Kluyveromyces lactis: one gene and its partners. The protein of the gene in region 1 purifies or fractionates together with the protein of each later gene. This does not show direct contact. Links are inferred from orthologs where the notes say so. Each region holds a gene or a part of one and is shown in the gene's direction. Other genes may lie near its edges.

Region 1 (5,982 bases):
ACCATCTATCTGGTGGTATTCCTTCTCATTTTCTTCACTTTAATAGTATAACATCATCACTAAATGATATACCGAATGTAACGCGCAATGCATGTTTTCATAAAGCTGTCTAATACCTTTCATCTCCTCGGAACTCTTTATAACCACGGTAGTGTTGTCTTGATAATACTCGTATTCATTGCCCTTGAACATATCTCATTTCAATTTCCTCGTTGTAATCCTCTTAAAACGTTTCTCATCTTAAAACATACCGCAAAATGTGTTGGAAGGAACCTTGTTCTTGAACAACTAGAGACATCTTTGCTTCTTACTCGTTCTGTTTCGAAAACGACTACCTAATAATAAAGTATCCGTTATTTAAATATAATAACACTAATATATCATTGTTAAGTAGCTTTTCACTAATTGAACACTATGATTTTGCAAAGGTTCAAAGGTTTCCCTCCATACAAACTTGCCATTCGGTAAAACCACTATAGAACGATTGTCTCACAACCGCACAAACCAGAACTGGACAGAGGCCCAGCATACTCTGTCACTGAGCAAGATCGGTCTAGTGGTGCATGTTCCCAGCCTAGGAGCAGAAGGTGTCGGTAGGAGAAGCAGAATCAGGGGGATGGAAATTCTGTCGGGGAGGAGAAACTGGAAAGAACCGAGGCGTCGGCACACCTAATGCCCTGTCTTTCCTTAGGCACGGAGAAAACTCAGCCCAAAGTCTGAAAAACGTTGGATGGGTTTCCTAATCAGGAAACTTGAAGGAAAGGAAAAATTAAACTATTATTCGGTTATAGGCGCATTGAAAATAATAAAATGCACGGGTGTATAAGGCTTCCGACAACAGTCCGAAATGGTTGCGTCTGTTTGTCCTCGATTTGGATTTTACAGCTTGATGATGGCCACAGCATTGGTCAATTGTCTTTACAAATACGGATGTCGCTAACTTAGATAAACAGCCGTGTAGCTATTTTCATTTTATTTGTGACGTTAATATACACACATACATATATATACAAGTTGTGGATGAGTTGGTGCAATGTGGAGTTTATTATTCGAAGCTTTTATTTTAACTCCCGTCTGATGATCAGTATCTCGTTCCATAATCAAACAACGTGAGTAACAGCCAGGTATTCTAAAGCTTCCAATTCAATAAAGATTCTGTGAGCCTTAAGTAGATCGTTGACATCAACAAATTCTTTTTGGACGATGTTAACTTTATCTTGGAATCTTTCTGTAAATGAAAATAATCCTGGCCTTGGTTCGTTAATAACGAATAATAGCTTCTTGTTCTGTAGCTCATAGTGCTTTAGGAATTTTTCGAACACGATATCGCCATCTTCTGAGCCCTCCCCGATGGGAAGAATTTCCAATTCATTTAGATCAGCCTGGCTTGTTTCGGAGATTCCGTCACCACTTCCGATGACGAAGACGTTACCGTTTCTGTATTGATGACTTAGTGCGTTATTGAATGCTAAAGAGTACACTTTCTTTGGGAGCGCTGTGGTATAATCATTTGGTGCAGTTCTTGCTAGAGCTCTACCACCGTTATGCCTTATTGGTGAATTAGCGTCACCAGCTCTGGCCATACCAGATCCCTTTTGTGGTAAAATCTTTCTTCTCGAATAACCAACATCACTTCTGCCTGGGGGGTTAGAAGACCCAACACGTTTACTGTCATTTTCGTAAACAACAGCACGCCATAGTAAGTCTCTTCTCAATGGAGCATCAAATACTGAGGTTGGCACTGGTGCAAATGTCAATGGTTCTAATGATGGGAATGAACGAACCGTTGCTAAGGTATATTTTGGCGGTAGACTAGCATTAGGAAGGGGTTTGTTGGAAACGTAACGGACCTGTAGAGAATAGGGAAAAGAGTAACAAAAAATTACGAGCAATAGTTAGTAAATCGATCTTCTAAAAGTAGGTGATATAACTGCTTAATGCGGAAGGATATCATCATGCAGTTTGAGGAAAGCCCGCGCTTTACCATTGCAACAGTGATGAAAATGGGTTTGACATACGTTTTTGCACAAATTCAAACCTTGTCTCTTGGAAAACATGGCTGATTCTGATACACTGACTTAATGTCTCGATACAAAGGGGATCAATTGGACACTCCTATGTCTGATCACCGCAAACAAATCAATCATCTTTAGTATTCAACCTATTTCATATTCAGATTTTTGATTATCGAAAATTTGTCTACCATGTAAAATATCCGGGTAATGTTAAATTGCCCGAATTAACGATCAACAAAACTGTCATCTTGTATGAAAGCATACAACGACATTAAGGGTCGCAGTTTATGGTAGTCCCGAATGTCATATGTAAGCGGATTCAATTTGCAGTAAAAAAAAATCCGATTTACGCTAGCAGAACAACAATTGTACTTGTCCTTTTGTTATTCATCGATGGTTATTTAAATGGAGGACTTTATTCTGACTGATTATATGAAAAAGAAATCAATATAACCAAAAAAATTCAAAAGCTTCAAGGCTCATCTCATCTCATCTCAGTATTATTTAGCATGAACAAAGCCAGTAGTCGTTTCCTTTGTCAGTAAGCGAGCGATACGAGTCTCCGTGATTACACTTTAATCAATACTTAACATAAAACTACCCAGAGTAAGGCGATGTCATCCAGAACAAGATATTACTTGGAACAATGTATTCCAGAAGTTGATGACTTAGTGCAGAAGAAGTTATTCACTAAGAATGAAGTAAACAAAATTATGAAGAAAAGGACTGATTTTGAACACAGATTGAGTTCGAGAGGTTCAAGTATAAGTGATTACATCAGATATATTGAATACGAGAAGAATGTCGATGCATTAAGAATGAAACGTGTTAAACGTATCTTGCAATCGAACAAATCAAATAGTATTTCGGATTTTACCATACAGCAGAGGATTCTCTATATTTTCCAAAGAGGCTGCAATAAGTTCCCAAAAAAATTGAAATTTTGGTCTTTATATTTGAATCATTTAAAATCAAAGGGTACAAATGCCTCTTATAAAAAGATTCAAAACGTCTACAATCAATTGCTCAAATTACATCCAACAAACGTTGACGTTTGGATATCATGTGCTAAATATGAATACGAATTGCACGCAAACTTCAAGAGCTGTAGAAATGTTTTTCAAACTGGTCTTAGATTTAATCCAGATGCTTCTAAACTCTGGTACGAGTACGTTAAATTCGAACTGAATTTCGTGACAAAATTGTTAAATAGAAGAAAAGTGATGAATTTAATCAACGAAAGGGAACAAGAGCTAGATATGCTACAACAGCAAGAGGAAGGAAGAAACTCCAGTAATGTAACAGGTCTGGAAGAAACTGCAGATGACGAAGCATACTTTGACAAAGACGGAATTCAACTTCCAAGTACTGGTGACAAGATGAAAGATAAACTAAACGAGTTACCAGAAGCCGATATGAATATGCTTGGATCAGAAGAAACTAATCCAGCACTACGTGGTGATGTCGCATTGGTTATATTCGATATCGCAATGAAGAATCTGGGCACATCTTTTGTCAAGAAACATCAAGGATACTACGCCGTTACCAATTCGCAAGTCGATGAAGAGCTCAGCAGAAACGTTATGTCCTACCTGTTTGATAGATGCCTCGAGTATATCAACTTATTTTCGGAATTTCAAGATTTAAAAAGAGAATATCTGATAAATCACGTATTGCAATGGCTAAAGGACGAACATTATAATATTTCCCTTGAGAAAAGTATGCCAGAAAAATATGTGGAATTATTATTGCATGATGTTACATTAAATATCAAATTCATGCCTGCCGGCGAATTAAACATCGACAGTCTCCAATTGTCCTTCAAAAAGTATTCTGCATACATCAGCAAATTAGATGAGACGAATGCCAAACAACTTACTACATTATATTCTGGTTATTTGACCCAACATCTATTATCCAATATGGATAAATCTGATTCGAAGTATGCTATTTTGAATGCTATTATCAAGAAACTGTAATGAGACACTGTATACACATTTTTATGTACATATTTGACATTAAGTAGTAAGGTAAGCAGTGGAGCCAATATTTCCACAGTTTTATAACTCTAATTAAACCCAATTCTGAGAAACGAAGAAATCATAGATTCTGTTGGCCTTCGTTGCCTCGATATTCAATAAATCACGACACTGTTTCTTCGAGAGTTGACCTGCAGTCCGTATTAATTCTCTGAATAGTACCTCTTTGATGGCAATGTAAGGCTTTGGCAAAATTTTCAACGTTATGCATAACTGCTGTTCCTCAGCTGATAATAATTGGAAATCTGCCCCATGCTGAATGTCACTGATAGTCATTAGTTTCTTACGTCCACTTCCTTCGTTATAATTTTGAGCATAATCAGCTTGCGATCTATGGGCCGAAGTAGCTCTATAACGGGCAGTGTTACTAGATGAAGAAGAAGAGTACACTTGACTTCCAAATCTTTCCAATGTCATAATTCTTGCTTGTTTATCACGTTCATATTTAAGACCAGCTTCCAAAGTAGTGATACCGTTGCTCCTCCATTCTTGCAATTGATGAATTCTTGTTCGACACCGAAGTTCTTCCAATATGTCTTTGCTGAATTCTTCAAAATCCAGCGGGGACATGATTCTTGCGAAAGCCTTAATTTTGTTGTACAAATCTTTGGTTTCTTTTGAACGCTTCTTATCGAGACTTTGTAGTCTCCTGTATTCCATCAGACAATTGTCAAACAACAAACGCTTCTTTTCTGCTCTAGTCGTCAATCTCGAGTTGTAGATGTCAAGAATAGCCAACTTCACTTCAATATCTAACGGTTGATCATCGGCGTCGAAGACCATATCTTTGACCGGACCTTCGGCCTCATTCTCGAACTCCGTTTCGAATTCCAATCTACCTGGCATAAACCCTTGCACTTCATGGCATGACGGTTGTGATGCCATCGGTTTCCTAGGAGGTTCCAAAGGCCTTTCCCTAAATCTTTCCATGCGTTTCTTTCTTTTCTCCAAAAATTGTTCTTGCGGTTCATTAATGTCTTTTGTGATATCTGGAATAGGATAGTGTTCACTGTTCAAGTAAAACTTCAAATAATGATCATAAACTTCTTCCTTATCTCTAGATCCGATATGATCCGCAATATCTTGCCAGTTACCTAATCCCAGTGTCTGGGCTCCTTTTATCAACAGTAACTCTTCATCAGCGCCCCAATCCTCACAGAGAATCGGGTATGAGTTGGTTTCAATCACTTTATAGTCATGGCTTGGCCGGTGCTTACCGTTGTATAACCCTTTTGCGAAGCATGGCACACATAAATCATACTCTGGACACACCGCACATGTTATTCTGACTCTGTTTGTACAATCTGCAGAACAAATATCACAATGGAACTTGTTAGACATGGTGACGGTTGAACAAGGAGAAGCAGTTCAAAGTCAAACAGATGTAAAGCTAAATCACTATAACAGTTTGCGGGTCCTCGAAGTTAGTTATCTTTTTATATCAATGAGTTTGACTTATTCTTTAAACTCTCTTGAAATCACTTGTTGATTCTTTAGAACATCATAATTGAACTTTCCATGTAAACAGGAGAACAGAATGCGGGACTGTTACATCCTTACATTCTTATTAAGGATGAAAAATCTGAAAATCCTGAAATTCGAGAACGCTAATTTCATAAAATTTGATAAAACCAAAAGAGGAAATACTACTTGGCACTTCGTAAGAGAATTGGGACGGAGGGGAAAGGTGTGTGGACTGGTACTGGAAGACAGAATGTCTGTCTAGCTTGCTGTCATCCACACGAGACGCACTTTCGTTCCCGAGTCCCATCTCTGCCCACTTTGGATGCTACCACGCACTCTCTTACCAGCTGTTCCTTCGGTAACATTGTGTCCTCCAGTGACACCTTCTGCCTAGCTCTGTCCAGCTTAGTATTCCCTTTGCATTGTGCTTCGTTTCCGTTCCCCGGTTGTGAGTGAATCCTGGT
Region 2 (6,663 bases), about 610 kb from region 1:
CATCTTCACCCTCATGGTCGGCTTCCATCTGAAGACTAGAAATGCAAGTCCCAAAGTGATAATACAAAGTAGATAGTAGCATTGTAGCCTAAATCTTGATGTGCGATAACCAGCTATCGCAACAACTAGGTCTTCTTCGGCGATGTAAAATCTCTGATAATGCAAATATGGCACGTTGTTGGGGAAAAATCTTGAATGGTACTGAGGCTTTAAGAACTCAGAGTGGTAAGATTTCTTGTTCTGTTCCTGATCTTCTTCTGCTCTTGAATTGTAATCGTCATTAGCTTCAGCTTCCTCATCCTCACTTTCTGACGAAGCTGACGATCTGAGCTCCGAATCATCTACATCGTGAGTAGTGGAAATTTCCAATTCGGCAGGAATTCTATCTCTTAGAGTGTATCTCGAGGAACTTGAGGAAGAACGTGGGGAAGTAGAGTACAACCGATCTTCACTTTTACGTGATCGTACTGAATACTTTCGATTAGGTGTAAAAGTTCTCATCGCATAGTCGTTACCATCTTGTCTCAATGATGTTTTCGATGACCTCGGTTGAATATGTAGACGTTCTTGCTCATATGTCGGTATGGCATCCCAATCCATATCATAATCAGCATTTTCTACACTAGAAGTGATACCTTCAGCATTTTCGACCTGTTCTTCTGTGAAAAACTGGAATCCACGACCTCTTGAAGAGCTAGACCGACGAGAGGTTGTTGTACTCAATAGTAAAGGGTCATGTTCTGATGATCTACCACGCCTTTCCAAATTAGTGGAAGAGCCAGCACTAGCACCATAACCACTAGATTGGAATGAATGTGGATGATAGAAAGATACGATAGAACTTGGTACAGTCTCTACAGCAGCACCAGAATATGGTTCTGTGTTGTTTTGTTCCAAGATTGCTGATGAAGTAGTTGTATTAGCGCTGGATCCCGTCCTTGTCGAAGAAAAGGACGGTCTTGCTGATTTATTCGCACTATGGGGTATTCCTGTAAATCTGCTGTCGAATGATGACATTGAGTCCCTCTTCAAAGGTGCGTTGGTCGACCTTATCTATTGATAGAATCCACTCCATATTACTTTTTAAAGGTTTCTGATATATATGAGAATGTAGGTTGATAAATTGAAGATAATTGATTTAATGAAATTTCATACCAAGACACATAATACATAAGGAAGGATAGGAGAAAAGGCAGGCCAATGATACCTCACGTTACAATGTGGAACTTTACTGTGTTGATAAAACTCTCGTAGTTCGATAGATATATAGACTGCCCCTGAAAATGGATCGAAAGGAGCCAGAAACAGCTTTAGACTGTAATATGATGGTGCTTTTATGCCTTATAATAAATATTTCCGGCTGTGAAAGTACCTTTAGAAATGAAATTGAACAAAAAAGAGAAAAAACATATAGTCTGATCTGAAACTATTACCATAGAAGGCATTCCACTCGTAATTGCACAAATTTTTCTTAGCATGACCAACAAAACTCTTATCACTCCCCTAGAACCTTTTAGTTACATGGTTTCCACCATTACAGATATGTAATTATTATACCTCTTTAAGAAGATAGAATAACTGGCTAACAAAAGCCCTTAATAGTTAAGAAGTATGTCATGCATTCAAAAGACCCTAATCCGTGGATACGGTTCAAACAAACTCCAGTGATAACAACGGAAGATCTGTACAACGTTCCATTATTAAACTGTCACTGCATCAAAGGCGCGATTACATTTCGTCTATGTCGTTTTGATTTCTTTTTTTTAATATTGAAAATTTTCAAAAATCGATGCGATGAGATGAGATGAGATGAGATGAGCTTTAGCTACTTAAGTGCTGGATCATTTGTATTGGTATGCTAACACATTTCTGAGCTTTGTTGATTCTAGAAACCAAGTGCAACTTTCTTAATTCTGGTAAAGATAAGTCTGGTTTACTTTCTCAAACAGGAAACAGTTTGGTATAACATATTTTGTATCTTTCTCTGAATTCTTTTTGCTTTGTGCTTTCTATTGGCTTTATTGGTTTCTATCTTCACAGAAGACAAAAACAACAACAACTTGGGAACAGGAGCTTCAATAGTTTGCAAGACACTTCAAGAAAAACATAGGTTTACATCTAAATTGCTAGGTGTAATTTGTTTTGAAAACAGGCATATCTAAATACCGAAAAAGATCACAAACATGGTTGCTCCACAAAGTAAAAGAAAGAGAGACGATGAGTCTCCTTTAGTAAGACAGGATGCTACCGAAGCACCAGCCAAATCTGCATTGAGTAAATCCGAGGAAATCTCATTTCCAAGAGGTGGTTCTTCTGCTTTATCCCCATTGGAAGTTAAGCAGGTTGGTAACGAAGTGGTTGCTGATGTTTTATTTGGCAAGGATGAATCAGCTACTGGTGCAGAGGGCCCAACGAAGAAGAAAAAGAAGAATGCTAAGAATAATTTTGATCAAATTACCACAGGTGATGATGAAGAAAAAGAGGACAAGACTGATTTAATTGAGCATTTTGGAATGAAACAAATGACCAAAGGGACCATTGTCTTGGGTCAAATCCAATCGATCAGCAAACATGAACTGAAAATATCTTTGGTGGACGGTTTGCATGGTTACGTCTCATTAACAGATATCTCTGAACAAATGACCAAGATTTTGGAAAATTTGGACGAATCCATGGAAAGCGATGATGAAAAAAATGAGGACTCAGAATACGATTCTTCAGATGATGAAAGCGACATAACAACTCCTAAAGAATTACCTGATCTCAATAAATATTTCAAAATAGGCCAATGGTTGAGGTGCATGGTACAAAATAACAGCGCTTTAGAATCAAACAAGAACAAAAAGTTAGACTTATCCATCGAACCCTCTGTAGTAAACGTGTTTGAAGATGATGATTTAGCTAAAAACTGTCCACTACAGTGTTCGTTGAAAAGTATAGAAGATCACGGTGCCATTCTTGATATCGGTATTGAGAACTTAACAGGTTTTATCTCAAAGAAGGATATACCTGAATTCAGTTCTTTGTTACCAGGTATGGTGTTCTTAGCTACAGTGACGAAAAGATCTGGTAGAACTGTAAATGTCAACTTGGATTTGGCCAGTAAAAACACCAAGGTCGAAAAGATCTCTTCCATAGATGCCATCGTGCCGGGTCAATCGATTGACTTTTTACCTCAAACTATCACAAATCACGGTGTTATCGGTAAAGCCTTCGGTCTAATAACTGCATTTTTGCCATTGCCACATTCCAATTTCTTTACGGTAGAGGATTTGAAGCATCACTACTCCATTGGTGACTTAGTCAATGCTAGAATTTTGGCAACCACTATAGTGAAAAGCGGCGATAAAGTTGCTGTCGTTTCCACACAACCTCATATCATCTCATTGCATCCAAAATTACAGGAGACCGAAGCGTTAGAATCTTTCCCCGTTGGCTATATCTTCGATTCTTGCACAGTTAAAGGCAGGGATAGTCAATTTTTCTACGTATCAATCAACAATGAACAGGTGGGACAAATTCATTTGTCAAAGGCAGGAGAAACTGAACCAACGGGAACTGTGAAAGCAAGAATACTCGGCTATAACAATGTAGATAAACTTTACACATTGACGTCTGATCCAGCCTTACTTGATGTCAAATACCTAAGATCGTCCGATATTCCAGCAGGCGAAGTTTTGAGCGCTTGTGAGATTGTCACAGTGTCAGGAAAAGGTATTGAATTAAAAATTTTCAATGATCAATTTAAGGCATTTGTTCCTCCCTTACACATATCTGATACCAGACTTGTGTATCCTGAAAGAAAATTCAAAATTGGTTCAAAGGTTAAAGGTAGAGTTCTCAATGTCGATTCTGTGGGCCGTGTCACTGTGACATTGAAAAAGTCTATTGTAAATGCAGACGAAGAATCTGTGACGTTAGTCTGCAAAAATGATGATATTCAGACTGTTGAAAGTCAAGAATTGAAAACAATTGGTACTGTTGAAATATTCAAGCCTAATGGTTGTGTTATCTCGTTCTTTAATAATATCAAAGCTTTCGTTCCAAACAAAGAAATTTCAGAAGCATTTGTAAAGAAACCACAAGAACACTTAAGACTAGGACAAAGTGTTTTGGTTAAAATTTTGAATCATGACTTCGAAAGAAACAGAATTATTGCTTCTTGTAAAATTTCAGCAGAGTCTTCTTCCAAGCAAAAGAGTGCTATTGAATCTTTAGTTGTCGGTAAATCTATCATCGATGCAATTGTTATTGAAAAGACTAAAGATTCCGTCATCGTAGAATCTAAAGATTCAGGGTTGCGCGGTGTTATTTACACCGGCCATTTGTCAGATGATAGAATTGAACAAAACAGAGCTTCGCAGAAAAAGTTAAAGATTAACTCTGAAGTTAGAGGTTTGGTTTTGGACAAGGACATCAGGACTCATGTGTTCAACATGTCCTGTAAAAAATCATTGATTAAAGATGCTGAAGACGGTACCCTTCCTTTAAGTTTTTCCGACATCAAAAATAAAGACAAAACAGAACCGATGCATGGTTACGTTAAATCTGTTTCTGACCGTGGTGTTTTTGTTGCATTCAATGGTAAATTTGTCGGTTTGGTTTTACCAAGTTATGCAGCAGAAACCAGAGATATTGATATTCATAAGAAATACTACATCAATCAATCCGTGACCGTGTATTTATTGAGAACAGATGAGGAACATGAAAGATTTTTATTGACTATTTTAAAACAAAAGACCGATGTTAAGAAGATCAATTCATCTGTAATTAACCCAGTCGACAAGTCTATCAAAGATTTGTCGGACTTCACTATCGGTAAGGTTACAAAGGCTACAATTACATCAGTTAAGAAGAACCAGCTTAACGTTACGTTGGCTGATAATGTACATGGTCGTATCAGTATTTCTGAAGTTTTCGACAGTTTCGAAGATATCAAAGAACAAAAGGCACCATTAAGTGTGTACAAGAAAAATGATTCACTCTCAGTCAGAGTTATCGGGTTCCACGATATTAAAAGCCGTAAATTCTTACCAATTTCTCACACAACATCCAAGAGCCATCTAGTCGAACTGAGCGCAAAGCCATCTTCATTAACTTCTCCAGTTTCCGAAAAGAAACTCAAGGACTTCACTCCAGAGCAAACAACCTTTGGATTCATTAATAATTATAGCAACGATACCGCATGGTTGACTATCACTCCTACTGTCAAGGCCAAACTACCAATCTTTGAGATCTCAGATGAAGGTCATGACTTTTCCTTACCAATTGAAGAGAAATACCCAATAGGTACAGCTGTCAGAGTAACCGTCAAATCTATTGATACTGAGCATGATTCACTAGTTGTTTCTGCTAGATCGCACGCCATCTCCTCTATTTCAGAAATTAAAGAAGGCGATGTTCTACCTGCTAGGGTAATTTCTGTTCAGGATACTTACGTTTTATTGTCTTTAGGTAAAGATGTTACTGGTGTTTCATTCATAACCGATGCTTTAGATGATTATTCTCTATCGTTGAAAGATGTCTATGACTCCAAAAAGAAGAACATTGTTTCCGCCACAGTTTTGAATGTTGACATAGACAATAACAAGATCAATTTATCCTTGCGTTCTTCTTCTCCAAAGGACCGTACCATCATCTCCTCCTCTGAATTGAAGAGAGGTGATATTGTTCGTGGTTTTGTTAAATCTATCACTGACAAAGGTGTTTTTATTAGTTTGAGCAGTGTATTGCAAGCATTCGTTCCAGTTTCCAAGCTTACGGATGCCTTTATCAAGGATTGGAAGAAATTTTTCAGAAGAGGTCAAAGTGTTGTCGGTAAGGTTGTGAACTGTGATAATGATGATCGCGTACTATTAACTTTGAGGGAATCTGAAGTCAACGGTCAATTGAACGTATTAAAATCATACTCTGATATTAATGTGGGCGATATTTTCCAAGGTTCTGTGAAGAATGTTACTGACTTTGGTGTTTTCGTAAAGTTGGACGGTACAGTCAACGTAACTGGTTTGGCCCACAAAAGTGAAGTCGCTGACGCTAAAATAGATAATTTACAAAACCTTTTCGGTGAAGGTGACAAAGTTAAAGCAATCGTCTTAAAGACCAATCCTGAAAAGAAGCAAATATCTCTAGGTTTGAAGGCTTCATACTTCACTAACGAGAAGCCTGAAACCGTTGAAGAAGGTAATGAAGAAGAAGAAGAGCTCGAAGGTGTAGATGATCTAGATATCGATATGGAAGATGGACAGAAGGAAAGCGATGCTTCCGACAAAGATGAAGACAAAGATGAAGACCAAGATGAGATCATGGACGATGCTCAATTTGGACATTCCGATTCAGAAGCGGAAGACACAACTAGACCTAAAAATTCTGCCCCAGTCAGCACTGACGGACTTTCATTGAGTACCGGATTCGATTGGACTGCAAGCATCCTTGACCAAGCTCAAGACGAAGAAGAATCCTCCGAAGAAGATGAGGACTTCATTAAATCTAGGAAGCAAAAGAAGAAGAAGACTCAGATTGTTCAAGATAAGACTGTTGATATCAACACCAGGATTCCAGAATCCGTAGGCGACTTTGAACGTTTAATCATGGGTAATCCAAACTCTTCCGTGGTATGGATGAACTACATGGCTTTCCATTTACAACTAAGTGAAGTCGAAA
Region 3 (5,144 bases), on another chromosome or scaffold:
AAAGGCATGCTTTCCAAATGATTTCGGGACGGTGTCTAAACGACTGAAAAGATTCAATTTCTTAATCACAGTTTTTTATACTGGGGTTGGCTTTTTGATAGCATCTTGGATCTTAACGAATGCACCATTTGGACCTGCGACAGAGCCCTTCACCAAGACAGTACCTGTTTCGTCGTTGACGTCCAGCACTTGCACGTTTTGAATTGTTACAGTGTCGACACCCATATGACCAGGCATCTTTTTCCCAGGCAACACACGACCAGGTGTTTGATTTTGACCGTAAGAACCACCAGATCTGTGAGATACGGAAACACCGTGGGATGCCTTCAAACCTTTGAATCCATAACGTTTCATTACACCTTGGAAACCCTTACCTTTGCTGATTGATCTTAAATCAACGTATTGGCCAGGCTTGAACCACGAAGGTTTGATTAAAGAACCCACTGGTAGTAGTCCAGATTCGTCCTTGACTCTAAACTCGGTAACTTTTTCCTTTGGATTCACAACATGTGCAGCGAAATGTCCCAACATTTGTCTGGTAACATTCTCCGGCGACTTGTTACCATAACCAATTTGGCAAGCCCAGTAATTGTTTTCAGCTGGAGTTCTGTGTAGTATAACTTCGTTATTGTCCAACTGAAGTACAGTAGCTGCTATACGTTTACCAGTCTCTTTCTCGAAATACGGCATCATCCCTACTTTTTTACTCAAAGCACCACAACGTAGAGGTAATCTTCTTCTCTTTAGCGCATTTTCTGGAGAATGTTTAATATCTACAGGATCTAGATGAATGCTGCTTGCCACGGATGGTGCGACTAACTTGGCACCGTTCGATACTCCACTTTGTGAGAAAAGTCTTGTCCAAATCTTCGACGAAGGACTGCCAATAAATGCCATTATTCCCCAATTTTCAAAGACTGGTCGATTGATAACAAATGTGTCAATCCAGATAACCTCTTGGCAATGCTGGAGAAACTGTAAAGGATTTAAAATGTAGTTTAAAGACTCTATTGAAACCTGTTTCCATCTCTGTATAATTGTTAAAGCTGTTTCGATATTGAAAATTTTTTGAATCGATAAAGTTACCTATAGATCACGTGATTAAAACGGCACGTAGTTCTCTCACTGATTTAACACAAATTAAGTGTGCCCTTGACGGTTATTGGAAGTGTATGTTTATGCTTCTGTATTTACATGTTATTTAATATTATAATAATTATAATCATCATTCTATCGTCATCATTTGATCTTCTTATCCTTGATCTTGATAGTTTCATTGTTAACGTAGATACCTTTACCCTTATATGGTTCTGGAGGATGGAATTTTCTCAAGTTGGCAGCGAAGAGTAGCACTTGTTGCTTGTTGACACCTTCCACGATCAACGACGTGGGTACCGGAGACTTAACTATGATTCCCTCTGGGATAGGTAGGCCTTGTCTTACCGACGCACCGACTTTGACGTTGACAAAGGTGTTATTTTCCTCCAATTGAGCTCTGTAACCGGTACCAACGAACTTCAGAACAGCCATATGGCTCTCATTCACGCCTGTGATATGATTATTTATATGAGATCTTACCGTCCCCCACATGGATCTTTGCGTCTTGTCGGTAGAATCCTTCACTGCAACTTCGATTTTTCCCGAAGATCCATCCTGCTTTATCTCCACGAAATCTGGGATTTCCATATCAATCTTCCCCAAAGGACCCGATACAGTTACGTTCTGAGATAACTTAAGAGATTTGTTACCCTTTCTGATGATCTTTGGCAGTTTCATTGATTCCACCACCAACTTGGTCTCCGGTGTCAAATACACCGGAGAAGAACCAATATGTGAGCGCAGAAGAGCCGACACAGAAAAGAGTCTTCTGGAAACAAATGTCATGGTAATTGTGTATATCCTGGAAATAGTCTAGCCCACTTTGCAGCCGCTATATGACTGGGTATATTAGATCAAATGCGTCTATATCAATCTGTTCTTCCAGCACTCATCTCTATGCGTCTTTCAACCAATTTTTCACTTGGAATCAAAATTTTAATAGTGAGATAGTATGGGAGGGTAACTTTAATTGCTTTGACGATTGTTAAATAAGATATACTTAGGCTGTTACTCTCGATTGGTGACCATCTAGGCCACTCCTGGGTCGAAATGGGATGTGGAGACTGCTCTTCGTCGAAACACAGGAGTAAATACCTTGTGCTTATATTATCCTGTGCATCACGTGACTTGTTGATCTTTGCCCTTTCTTTTTGAAAAATTTCAAGCTCATCGCCTACGCATCGTCATCTCATCTCAATTACTGAATGATATAGCAGGCTGAAGTGGTTTCAAGAGCGTTCAGCAAGTCATTTGGTGGTCTCATAGCCAATATAAGGATAGGATACTCCAAGCAGATACACTAGGTAATACAGTATGGTAAGAGCATTGAAACATCATGAGCAGAAGCTTCTCAAGAAGGTCGATTTCTACGAATGGAAACAGGACCAGAACCACAGAGATACGCAGGTGATGCGTACGTACCATATCCAGAACCGTGAGGATTATCATAAATATAACAGAATATGTGGTGATGTGCGTCGTTTGGCACATAAGCTATCGCTTTTACAACCTACAGATCCCTTCCGTATCAAGCACGAGCAGCTCTTGCTAGAGAAACTATATCATATGGGCATTCTTTCAACAAAATCCAAGATATCAGCACTAGAGAATAAAGTTACAGTCTCGGCTTTCTGTCGTCGTAGATTGCCTGTAATAATGCATAGATTAAAGATGGCACAGACACTCAAGGATGCCGTTCAATTCATTGAACAAGGTCATGTTAGAGTAGGACCTAACTTGATTACAGATCCAGCATATTTGGTAACAAGGAATTTGGAGGATTACGTTACATGGACAGATTCATCCAAGATCAAGAAGACTGTACTACGTTATAGAAACGCGGTCGATGATTTTGACGATGCCTAGATTGATCCTGCTATACTTGCCTTCGGAAGTAGGAAAAAGGGCAAAAACTATTATTTTACAAATTTGAAAGGAAAGTAAGTAGTAGTGGTATATATGTATCATAAGAAAAAGTATTCTAATTACAATCTTTTGCTTCGAGCTCGGTTCCAATGTATATGGATATGCCGGATAATGCATATAAACACGTAAGGATTGTATTCAACAAGACTCCAAAAGAGGTCTAAAAAAACAGAATGGTAAAACAAAGGGAAATAATGCTCCCTTTACATGACATTGTAATTGTGTGATGAGCCCAACTGCTTTCTTAGATCTTCTTGCGATCCGGAGTGCGGTAGAATAGTCCCCATGCTTGGTGGATGCATAACGTCGGTGTCGTCAAGAATACCGCTTACTCTCGATTTAATATAAGTGTCTTGTAACTGTTGTTGATAAGTGTTAGTATTTGACATCAAACTGTTGGATCTTGAATCCGCTACAGCACGAGAGAATGATCCAGCTGGCTTGAAAAGGTTATTTTGAGACAACTCGTTTGGATTTGTCATCACCACGGATTGTCTCAAATGATGAGGTAATACCTTGCTTCCTGCAGAGTTAATTTGTGATGGTGTTGTATTGCTGGAGGCTTGATCTGAGGATAATCCCAAATCTGATCCGTTTGTTTGGTGGAAATAAAGTTCTGGATGGTCGATTGGATTGTAGTTATGGTTATTTTGTGGTGTCATAGCTGCTGCTGCTGGTGACTTAAGGGTGGTTTTTGATTTAAATGACGTTAACGAATGAGAGGAACCGCTAAATGGTAAATTAGATGGTCGTGGGAGCTCTTCGATGCTTTCCATATTAGGAGGGGGGAGATTATGCTGTATTTGGTTGTGATATGTTGGGAAACTTCCATCGTACTGATTCTGTCCGTAATACTGATGATTGTAGTAGTATTGATTTTGTTGATGGTCATTATGATACTGAGACTGGGTGTCATAAATTGATGACGCTACCCTTGGCGCAGGGTCTGAATATTGGTTTGGTGCGTTCGAGTTAGGATTTTCAAACGCTGCTGTATCTTGTGATTGGGTATTGCCATCAGCTTGAGTACCTCTACCATAATTTTCCTCTGGGTACTGTGGGGCTTCCGGCTGAAGAGAATAGCCATTCTGGTAATACTCATGTTGCGGTTGGGCTTGATAATTTTCAGGTATATTGGATGGATTCGTAGGCTCATTGGAGTTGGAGCTCTCAGTAATTATGTTTGATGCATCCTTCGGTAACTCTGCAACCGGTTGGAACCCTTCGGGCACCGGATTTCCTTCTCTAATGGTTTTCACAGTACCGTTTCTATCCAAATAAACCTGATATATCGATTTCATTCTAGCCACATCTTCATCGGAGTCTTCTTCATCACGTTGAATGTAGACATCATCTTCATTTTCCAAGAACGGCTTTTTCTGTAATTGAATTCCCTCTGATGTGCGTTCGGACTCCTGCATTGAAACTTCTGGTTGGAACCCTTCTTGGTCTTGATGAATATAAGATTGTGTTACGTTTCCTCTGGAATATTTAACAGGGCTAGGCTCACTGTATAGGTCGCTATCCTTTGAGTCCTCTTCGTCATCGTCATCGTCCTCGTCTGCAGGACTACCGGAATCCTGTACAATTTCACTGTACTTCAAAATCTTATCATCACCGTTAGAGTTATTACCATTCGAAACTGTGGAGAACTTTGACAAATTCGACAGTTGAATGTTCCCATTATTAGGGACAGACCCACCTGCCGCTGACGTGGGTCTCGAGATAGATATTTGAGAAGCAGAACGCGTCGCAAGTTTGTACCCATCAAAATCACTATTCTGGAAAGTCTTGGCAAAATTCCTTAACGTTTCGGAATCATCGGTCACAGTTGGCAGTTGGAATGGATTTGTTGCGCTCTGAGAATAAGCGAACGATTTGGTCTCATCGTTGAAAGGATTTGGTTGTACCGAAAATGCACGAGTAGCTGATGAGGGTATTCTCATCCCAGAAGGATCGACGTTGCGTTCCATCTCAAACTCTTGTCCAAAATCCGGTAAGAATTCCGCGTCACCATCAAAGTCTGGATCATTGTCCTCCAGTTCTTCCTTCTTGTTTCTCTTGTATACTTTGTACAAAATGAATATCAATACCAGTCCAACCACTACTACCGGAACTAC
Region 4 (6,805 bases), on another chromosome or scaffold:
GTTTAAAACAAAACTATGATGAAATGGCTGCTTGGCCGCTACTTATAGACGAATATTACGAATTCTTGGAAGAAAATGACAAGCTGTGATGCAGCGCAAACACCTATATCGCTTATGAACATATTCATAGATACATATATTCATATATACGCATTGTGTATGTTGTCAGGGTAACACTTGTCTTCCTATTCCTTTCAGCATCAAAATTCAAAAATATTTCAAAGATCAACAAGTGAATAACAATCGAAAGTAGTTGCCGCGAGGTTAAAGCAAGGGCAAAACGGGGGCAAAGAAGGCCAGCACGAGGGTATTTCGACACTTAAAGTGGGCTTGCGGTGTGCATTTCGGATTACGAACCAAGATACGGACAATGTCAGGCCAAGCAGGTAATGTACAGCTGCAGAACCTCACGCCAGCTTCTATGCAGCAATTGGCGGATAGACTAAAATCGTTAGTTAACGAAGCTAAGCGAATTGGTGTAGATACCAAGGAAGGGAAAGAGCTATTGAGACAAGCGGCCCGTATTAAGGCTTTGTACGAGGCTTACAGTAAACAGAGGCAGCAGCAGGCCCAAGCGCAGGCTGGAGCACAGGGAGCTGTAAATAATAATGCCACGAATGTTAAATCCATGGATCAGCAGCAACAGCAGCAGCAACAGCAGCAGCAACAACAAGCTACCGCCAGTTCCAATAATGTGACGAATAACATAAAGGTCTTATTAACTCCTCAACAGCGTGAAGCTTACAATAGATTGGTTCAAAAGTATGAGGATGACGGTCAGAATATCAAGGGAGAATTCAACTTTTTGAAGAGAAATATTAGTGTTTTGGACCAAGAGATCAGGAATAGACGAGGTAACAGTCTATCGGTGCAGCAATTAGAGGTTAACAGGAATGAATTATTAATGAAAATCAGGGCATTGAGTGCCCAGTATTCGACATTACAACAGAAATATCAAGAGGACAGAAGAAAGTTTTACATTGAGTGTTCTCAAACTAATGCTGACTTAAGAAGATATCTACAAGCACAGCAACAAAAAGCTAATGCTGCTAAGTCACAGGGTACAGTAGCTGCAAATGCAGGTACACCGGGACCTCAGGCTGGTGTTTCTACTCCAGGAACCAACACCGGTACACCAATTCCAACAAGTTTGAATAAAGCTTCGAGTGGTAGTCCTCCAAATGCTATGGCGCAAAGACAAAATATACCAATTCAAAAGACCGCTGCAACTACTGCAACTGCAACAAACGCAAACCCGAGCTCAGCAGCTGCCGCACCAAATAACACAGCTTCTGACAAATCGTCCCCAATGCAGGTGACAACGGTGAATGCAGCTGCAAATCAAACAGCACAAAGCAATACAAGACCACCAATCTTCAAGCAACCAAACCCATCGATACCAATAAGTGAAAATGTCACCGCATCCCCAACAGTTTCAGTGTCATACAGAAGCAACAGACCTACGATAACAGGCGGTAGTGGTATGAACGCGCCAGCGCTAACTACACCTGTTATGACCAAACTACCGCCATATGAGGTCGATACTGAGCGTGTGATGTCTAAAAGAAAGCTCCGTGAACTCGTCAAAACGGTGGGTATAGACGAAGGTGATGGTGAAACCACCATTGATGGTGATGTGGAAGAGCTATTACTCGATCTAGCAGACGATTTCATTACTAATGTTACGAATTTCGCCTGTAAATTGGCAAAACATAGAAAATCCGATTCACTCGACGTAAGAGACATCCAAATGCATCTGGAACGTAATTGGAATATCAGAATCCCAGGGTTTGCCAACGATGAAATCCGTAGCACCAAGAAATGGAATCCAACCCCTTCGTACAATCAAATGGTAAATGCAATCAATAACAATAAAACTGCACGTACACATCCCGAAAAGAAGTGAAATGGATAAATTACCACTGTTTAAACAAGTTCATTCATTCAAACAGACTTAATTTGATGCATATATTATACATCATATATCATATATCTATTAATGTAACAATTCCTCAAAATATTGAAAATGGAGAAGTGGATGAGTACCTACAACAATGCATAATCAAGTCCAGGGAAACTGATTCTTAATACTCTTTGTCCTATTCTGCCTGTCTCATATATGTATAAACCACCCTTTTCTTTTTCATGGCTTCAAGTTGTATTTTTCAAAATTTTCCAAAACGTTAAAAACTATGGAAGGTCATCTCATCTCATCGCATAATGCTGTTCAAGAACAAGTATAACAAAACTTATATACTATAACCCTGTGTAAGATATCAGTTATTGCTACTATTATCCGCAGTGTGGAGTTTAAATTGATACACAATGGTTAAATCGTATCAACGTTTTGAACAAAGTGGTCTTTTTGGGTTAATTTCTACTTCAAATCAGTCGATCTATCTTCCAGCTACGAACTCAACGTCTGGCAAGCTAATTACAGGTGCTCTGGAGAATATTCAAATATGGACATTGAAAACTAATGAGGTGGAAGTACTTACTGATGGGCTACCTATCGGTGCAGTAGAGACTAATATTTCTAAACCTTCAGTAGTAACTGCGATGTGTTTCCACAAGGAAACAGAGTTGTTATGTGTTGGTTACGAAGATGGTGTGATTAAAGTGTGGGATCTGCTTTCTAAAAGTGTATTGATGCAGTTTAACGGACACAAGAGTGGTGTTACCGTGTTGAGATTGGATTCCGAGGGTACTAGATTAGTTTCTGGTAGTAAAGACAGTGATTTGATCATTTGGGATTTAGTCGGTGAAGTTGGTTTGATGAAACTCAGATCACATAAAGATGCCATTACTGGTATCTGGATAGACCATAATATGGACTGGCTTATTAGTGTGGCCAAGGATGGTCTTATCAAGGTATGGGATCTTAAGGCTGGTGGTCAGTGTGTTGAGACGCATATGGCGCATACTGGTCAATGTTGGTCGATGGCAATCGATGAGGAAGTCATAATAACCACCTCGATGGATTCACAGGCCAAGATATGGGAATTAGATTTAGAGAAGAGTAATGGAGAAAAAATTTCAGAACGTGGTACTTTCGAGACCGAAAGTAAGCAAAGAGGTGTTTCCACTGAATTTATCACAGCACCAAACGGTACCAGGTTTTTCTATATCCAGAATAACGACAAGACAATAGAAATCTTCCGTATCAGACCGGAAGAAGAGATCAGGAAAGCTCTTAATAGACGTGAAAAGAGGCTAAGGGATAAGGGGGCCTCTGAAGAGGAAATTCAGGAGGCGGTTAACCCAAATGATATCAGCGTTTTATTCCATTCGTTCTCCACGGTACGCTCAAGTTACAAAATTAAATCCTCCAACTGGATTCAAGCAAGTAATAGCAAGTTGGAAGTGGTTCTCACAACTTCTAACAATACCATTGAAAGTTATCAAATTCCATACAGTAAAAGAGATGCAGAACCACCAGTGAGAAGGTATAACGTCGAATTACAAGGTCATAGAACTGATATCAGATCTATGGACATCAGTGATGATGGGAAACTATTGAGTACAGCATCTAACGGAGAATTGAAAGTATGGAATCTAACTACAAAGAAATGTATCCGTACCTTTTCCTGTGGTTATGCGTTGTGTTCCCAGATGCTACCTGGTGGATTATTGGTGGTTGTGGGTACAAGACAAGGTGAACTTCAGCTATTTGATTTGGCTAGTTCTACATTACTATCTACTACAGAAGCACATACGGCAGCAATCTGGTCATTAGATTTGACTAGCAATGGTAAAAGACTGGTCACTGGTTCAGCGGACAAAAGTTGTAAATTTTGGGATTTCGAGGTTGTTGAACAATTGGTCCCAGGCACAAAGGATAAATACATTCCTCAACTTAAATTAGTCCACGATACGACTTTGGAACTAACTGATGATATTTTGGCTGTTAAGATATCATCAGAAGATAGATACTTAGCCGTTTCATTACTAGACAATACTGTGAAAGTATTCTTTTTCGATTCTTTGAAGTTCTACTTAAGTCTTTATGGTCACAAACTACCTGTACTTTCTATTGATTTTTCTGTAGATTCCAAGATGTTAATTACTTCATCAGCAGATAAGAACATCAAGATCTGGGGTGTTGACTTTGGTGACTGTCACAAGTCCATATTTGCTCATCAAGATTCTATCATGTCAGTAAGATTCGAAGCCGACACTCATAATTTCTTCAGTTGTGGTAAGGATGGTGCTGTCAAGAGATGGGATGGTGACAAATTTGACTGTATTCAAAAGCTCAATGGTCACCAAAGTGAAGTGTGGTGTATTGCAGTGTCACCAGATGGAAGAACCGTTGTGTCTACTTCTCATGATCATAGTATTAGAGTATGGCAAGAAACTGACGATCAGGTATTCTTAGAAGAAGAGAAAGAAAGAGAGATGGAAGAAGAGTATGAAGAAACACTATTGAAATCATTAGAAGGTGGATCAGGAGACGATCAGTTCCTTAGGGACAAAAACAGTGGAGATGACGGAGTGATTGATGAGGTTAGTGGTGTTAATAAGCAAACTCTTGAGTCTTTAAAAGCAGGTGAAAAGTTAATGGAAGCTCTAGACTTAGGTGTAGCCGAGATCGAATCCTGGGAAAATTACGAAAAATCTCTTAAGTCATGGAAAAAGAAGAAAAGTGGTGAACCACCAATGAAACCTCAAAGTAACGCCATCTTAATTGCCATGAAAATAAAACCGGAAAAATACATCATGGACACACTAGGGAAAATTAAACCATCACAACTCGAAGATTCTTTACTTGTGCTCCCATTCTCATATGTTATCAAATTCTTCAAATTCTTTGATGTGATAATGAAGCAAAAAGATTTAGTGTTGTTACATCTAAGTCTCATTTGTAAAATCCTATTCTTTATAGTTCGCACGAACAATAAGGAATTAGTCGCTCAAAAGAATGAAGAATTGAAACAGAGAATTGAAAGAGTGAAGACCAACATCAGAACAATGTTGCAAAAAAATGCAGACGATCTTGGGTTTAACATCGCCGGTCTTAACTTCATCAAACAGCAATGGAACTTAAGACATAACTTGGAGTTCACTGATGACTATTCGCAGTTAGAGCATGAGAAAAAGGTTGCAAAGAAGAGAGTTTTCGAAACTGTTCGCTAGATTTACGTCCATAAATTAAAACCGTATGCATCTTATTAAATATATAACCTGTCTCAAGGTATGTAAATATCAAGTTATAGATAATTCATCGACATCGATTTTCATCTACAGTTTTTGGTCTTTTGTTATTGTTTTTCATTTGAGCACAGATGTTAACATTTAGTTTGTGAAGTTAAAAAAAACTGACACTTTAAGGAATGACTAGCATGTAATCCAGAATAGGGTTATAAGAAATATCATGGAAATATCGTGGAAAGGAATATATTTATTCGTTGACTAGATACGTATCTGGTTGGGGTTCATATATGTAAAAACTACTTCTTTTCTTTCTATTCTATCTTTAAATAGCATGCAGCATTAGCATTCTTTTAAACCAATCTTTCTTCGAATCTCAACTCGTCCAATGCTGGCAAACCGATTAACAATCTCAAGAAGTTTTCCAAAGCAGCACGTTGTTTATTCAAGCCATTAATAGCCTTGAAACCTGGTCTAGTCAATGGTGCCTTCAACCAGTAACTCAACATAGTCAAGACAGGGTAGAAACTGTGGTAACCTCCTGAAAGGTCATTAATCTTCTTGTACTTGATTCTGGAACAGAATTCAGCCATGACTAACAAGTCAATGATCAATGGAGTAGCCAACAAAGAATCCTCACAGACGTTGTGGATGGAGATTCTGTTATGACCACCAAGCATCAATTCACTGTAATATTCATCCATGGCAACCTTAGAGTCACCGACCGCTGGCATATATTTGATAACGATACAGTGGTCGATCTTGTTACCCAGTTTGTCATTGTAGAGAATTTGGTTGGATTCAATGATATCATCGACCACACTCGCCTTGGAGATTTCTTTAGATTTGAATTGTTGTGGAGAACTCAAATTGTAACCATCGTTGTTACCCAAATGGTTGTAGGAAGCGATAGAAACTGGTCTGATACCAGCATCAACCAAGAATTGGGCCAAGACAGACTTCATCTTGGTTTGACCACTCTTGAAATCATCACCAGCGATGAAAGCGCCTTCCTTTTCAGCTAAATCAATGACACCTGGGACGAAAGTGTTCTGTGGGGAACCATTGATGTATGGAACGTTTTCCAAGATAGATGCGACAGCAAAGACAGTGGATGGAGCAATTTCTGCATGATCACTCCTGATAGCATTGATCAAGTTTTCAGCAGTATCGTTAACACCAGTCACGATGTCAGCATAACGTTCAGTGTTAGCTGTCCATAACACCAAGACTTTGTCCAAACCATTATTTTCCTTGAATTGACGAATGTCGTTACGGATGTGTTCAACGTGACTCCATTTGTCCTTTACAGACACAGGTCCAGCCTTACCATCCCTATTGAAACAGTTGTCTGCACGTTCATCTTGGTTAGCAGCGATAAAATCTGGATAGTAGATAGAAGGTAAAGGTTTGTGAGCGGACATTTCTTGACGCAATTTATTTTGCAAATCGACACCAAGAACTTCAGCTCTTGCCATTGCTGTTCCAAGGTCAGCACCATTAATATCCCAACCAGAAACATAGAAGTCATTTGGAGATACCATTGGAACTAAACTATTGAACGGAGCATAAACGTCATTTCCCTCAGCGTCAACACCAAGTTTCAAAGTAGAAGATTGTGTCACAGAACCATAGTAATTAGCTTCCTTCAAAC

The links.
Region 2: the proteins of UTP6 (region 1) and RRP5 purify together in Saccharomyces cerevisiae (affinity purification with mass spectrometry, with the first as the bait; 3 studies listed by BioGRID). This does not show direct contact. The link is inferred for Kluyveromyces lactis from reciprocal best matches to the Saccharomyces cerevisiae genes UTP6 and RRP5.
Region 3: the proteins of UTP6 (region 1) and IMP3 purify together in Saccharomyces cerevisiae (affinity purification with mass spectrometry, with the first as the bait; 3 studies listed by BioGRID). This does not show direct contact. The link is inferred for Kluyveromyces lactis from reciprocal best matches to the Saccharomyces cerevisiae genes UTP6 and IMP3.
Region 4: the proteins of UTP6 (region 1) and DIP2 purify together in Saccharomyces cerevisiae (affinity purification with mass spectrometry; 5 studies listed by BioGRID). This does not show direct contact. The link is inferred for Kluyveromyces lactis from reciprocal best matches to the Saccharomyces cerevisiae genes UTP6 and DIP2.

What each region holds. Positions count from the first base shown.
Region 1 is NC_006038.1:117,939-123,920, reverse strand, and holds UTP6 (snoRNA-binding rRNA-processing protein UTP6), read left to right. Parts: upstream 1-2,629; coding exon 2,630-3,994; downstream 3,995-5,982. Other genes in the region: RPS18A (40S ribosomal protein uS13), read right to left, coding at 252-298; YML6 (mitochondrial 54S ribosomal protein uL4m), read right to left, coding at 1,101-1,850, 2,019-2,057; chromatin-binding transcription regulator ADA2, read right to left, coding at 4,088-5,395.
Region 2 is NC_006038.1:727,667-734,329, forward strand, and holds the start of RRP5 (Rrp5p), read left to right. Parts: upstream 1-2,183; coding exon 2,184-6,663. Other genes in the region: YPK9 (putative acid anhydride hydrolase), read right to left, coding at 1-1,017.
Region 3 is NC_006041.1:1,423,293-1,428,436, reverse strand, and holds IMP3 (snoRNA-binding rRNA-processing protein IMP3), read left to right. Parts: upstream 1-2,412; coding exon 2,413-2,964; downstream 2,965-5,144. Other genes in the region: MRPL9 (mitochondrial 54S ribosomal protein uL3m), read right to left, coding at 76-897; MRPL6 (mitochondrial 54S ribosomal protein uL6m), read right to left, coding at 1,240-1,884; KLLA0_E15973g (SKG-like transmembrane protein), read right to left, coding at 3,228-5,144. UniProt on the Saccharomyces cerevisiae protein: Required for the early cleavages at sites A0, A1 and A2 during 18S ribosomal pre-RNA processing.
Region 4 is NC_006040.1:1,376,559-1,383,363, forward strand, and holds DIP2 (snoRNA-binding rRNA-processing protein DIP2), read left to right. Parts: upstream 1-2,325; coding exon 2,326-5,136; downstream 5,137-6,805. Other genes in the region: NEDD8 ligase DCN1, read left to right, coding at 1-89; TAF12 (Taf12p), read left to right, coding at 371-1,906; inositol-3-phosphate synthase INO1, read right to left, coding at 5,505-6,805. UniProt on the Saccharomyces cerevisiae protein: Involved in nucleolar processing of pre-18S ribosomal RNA.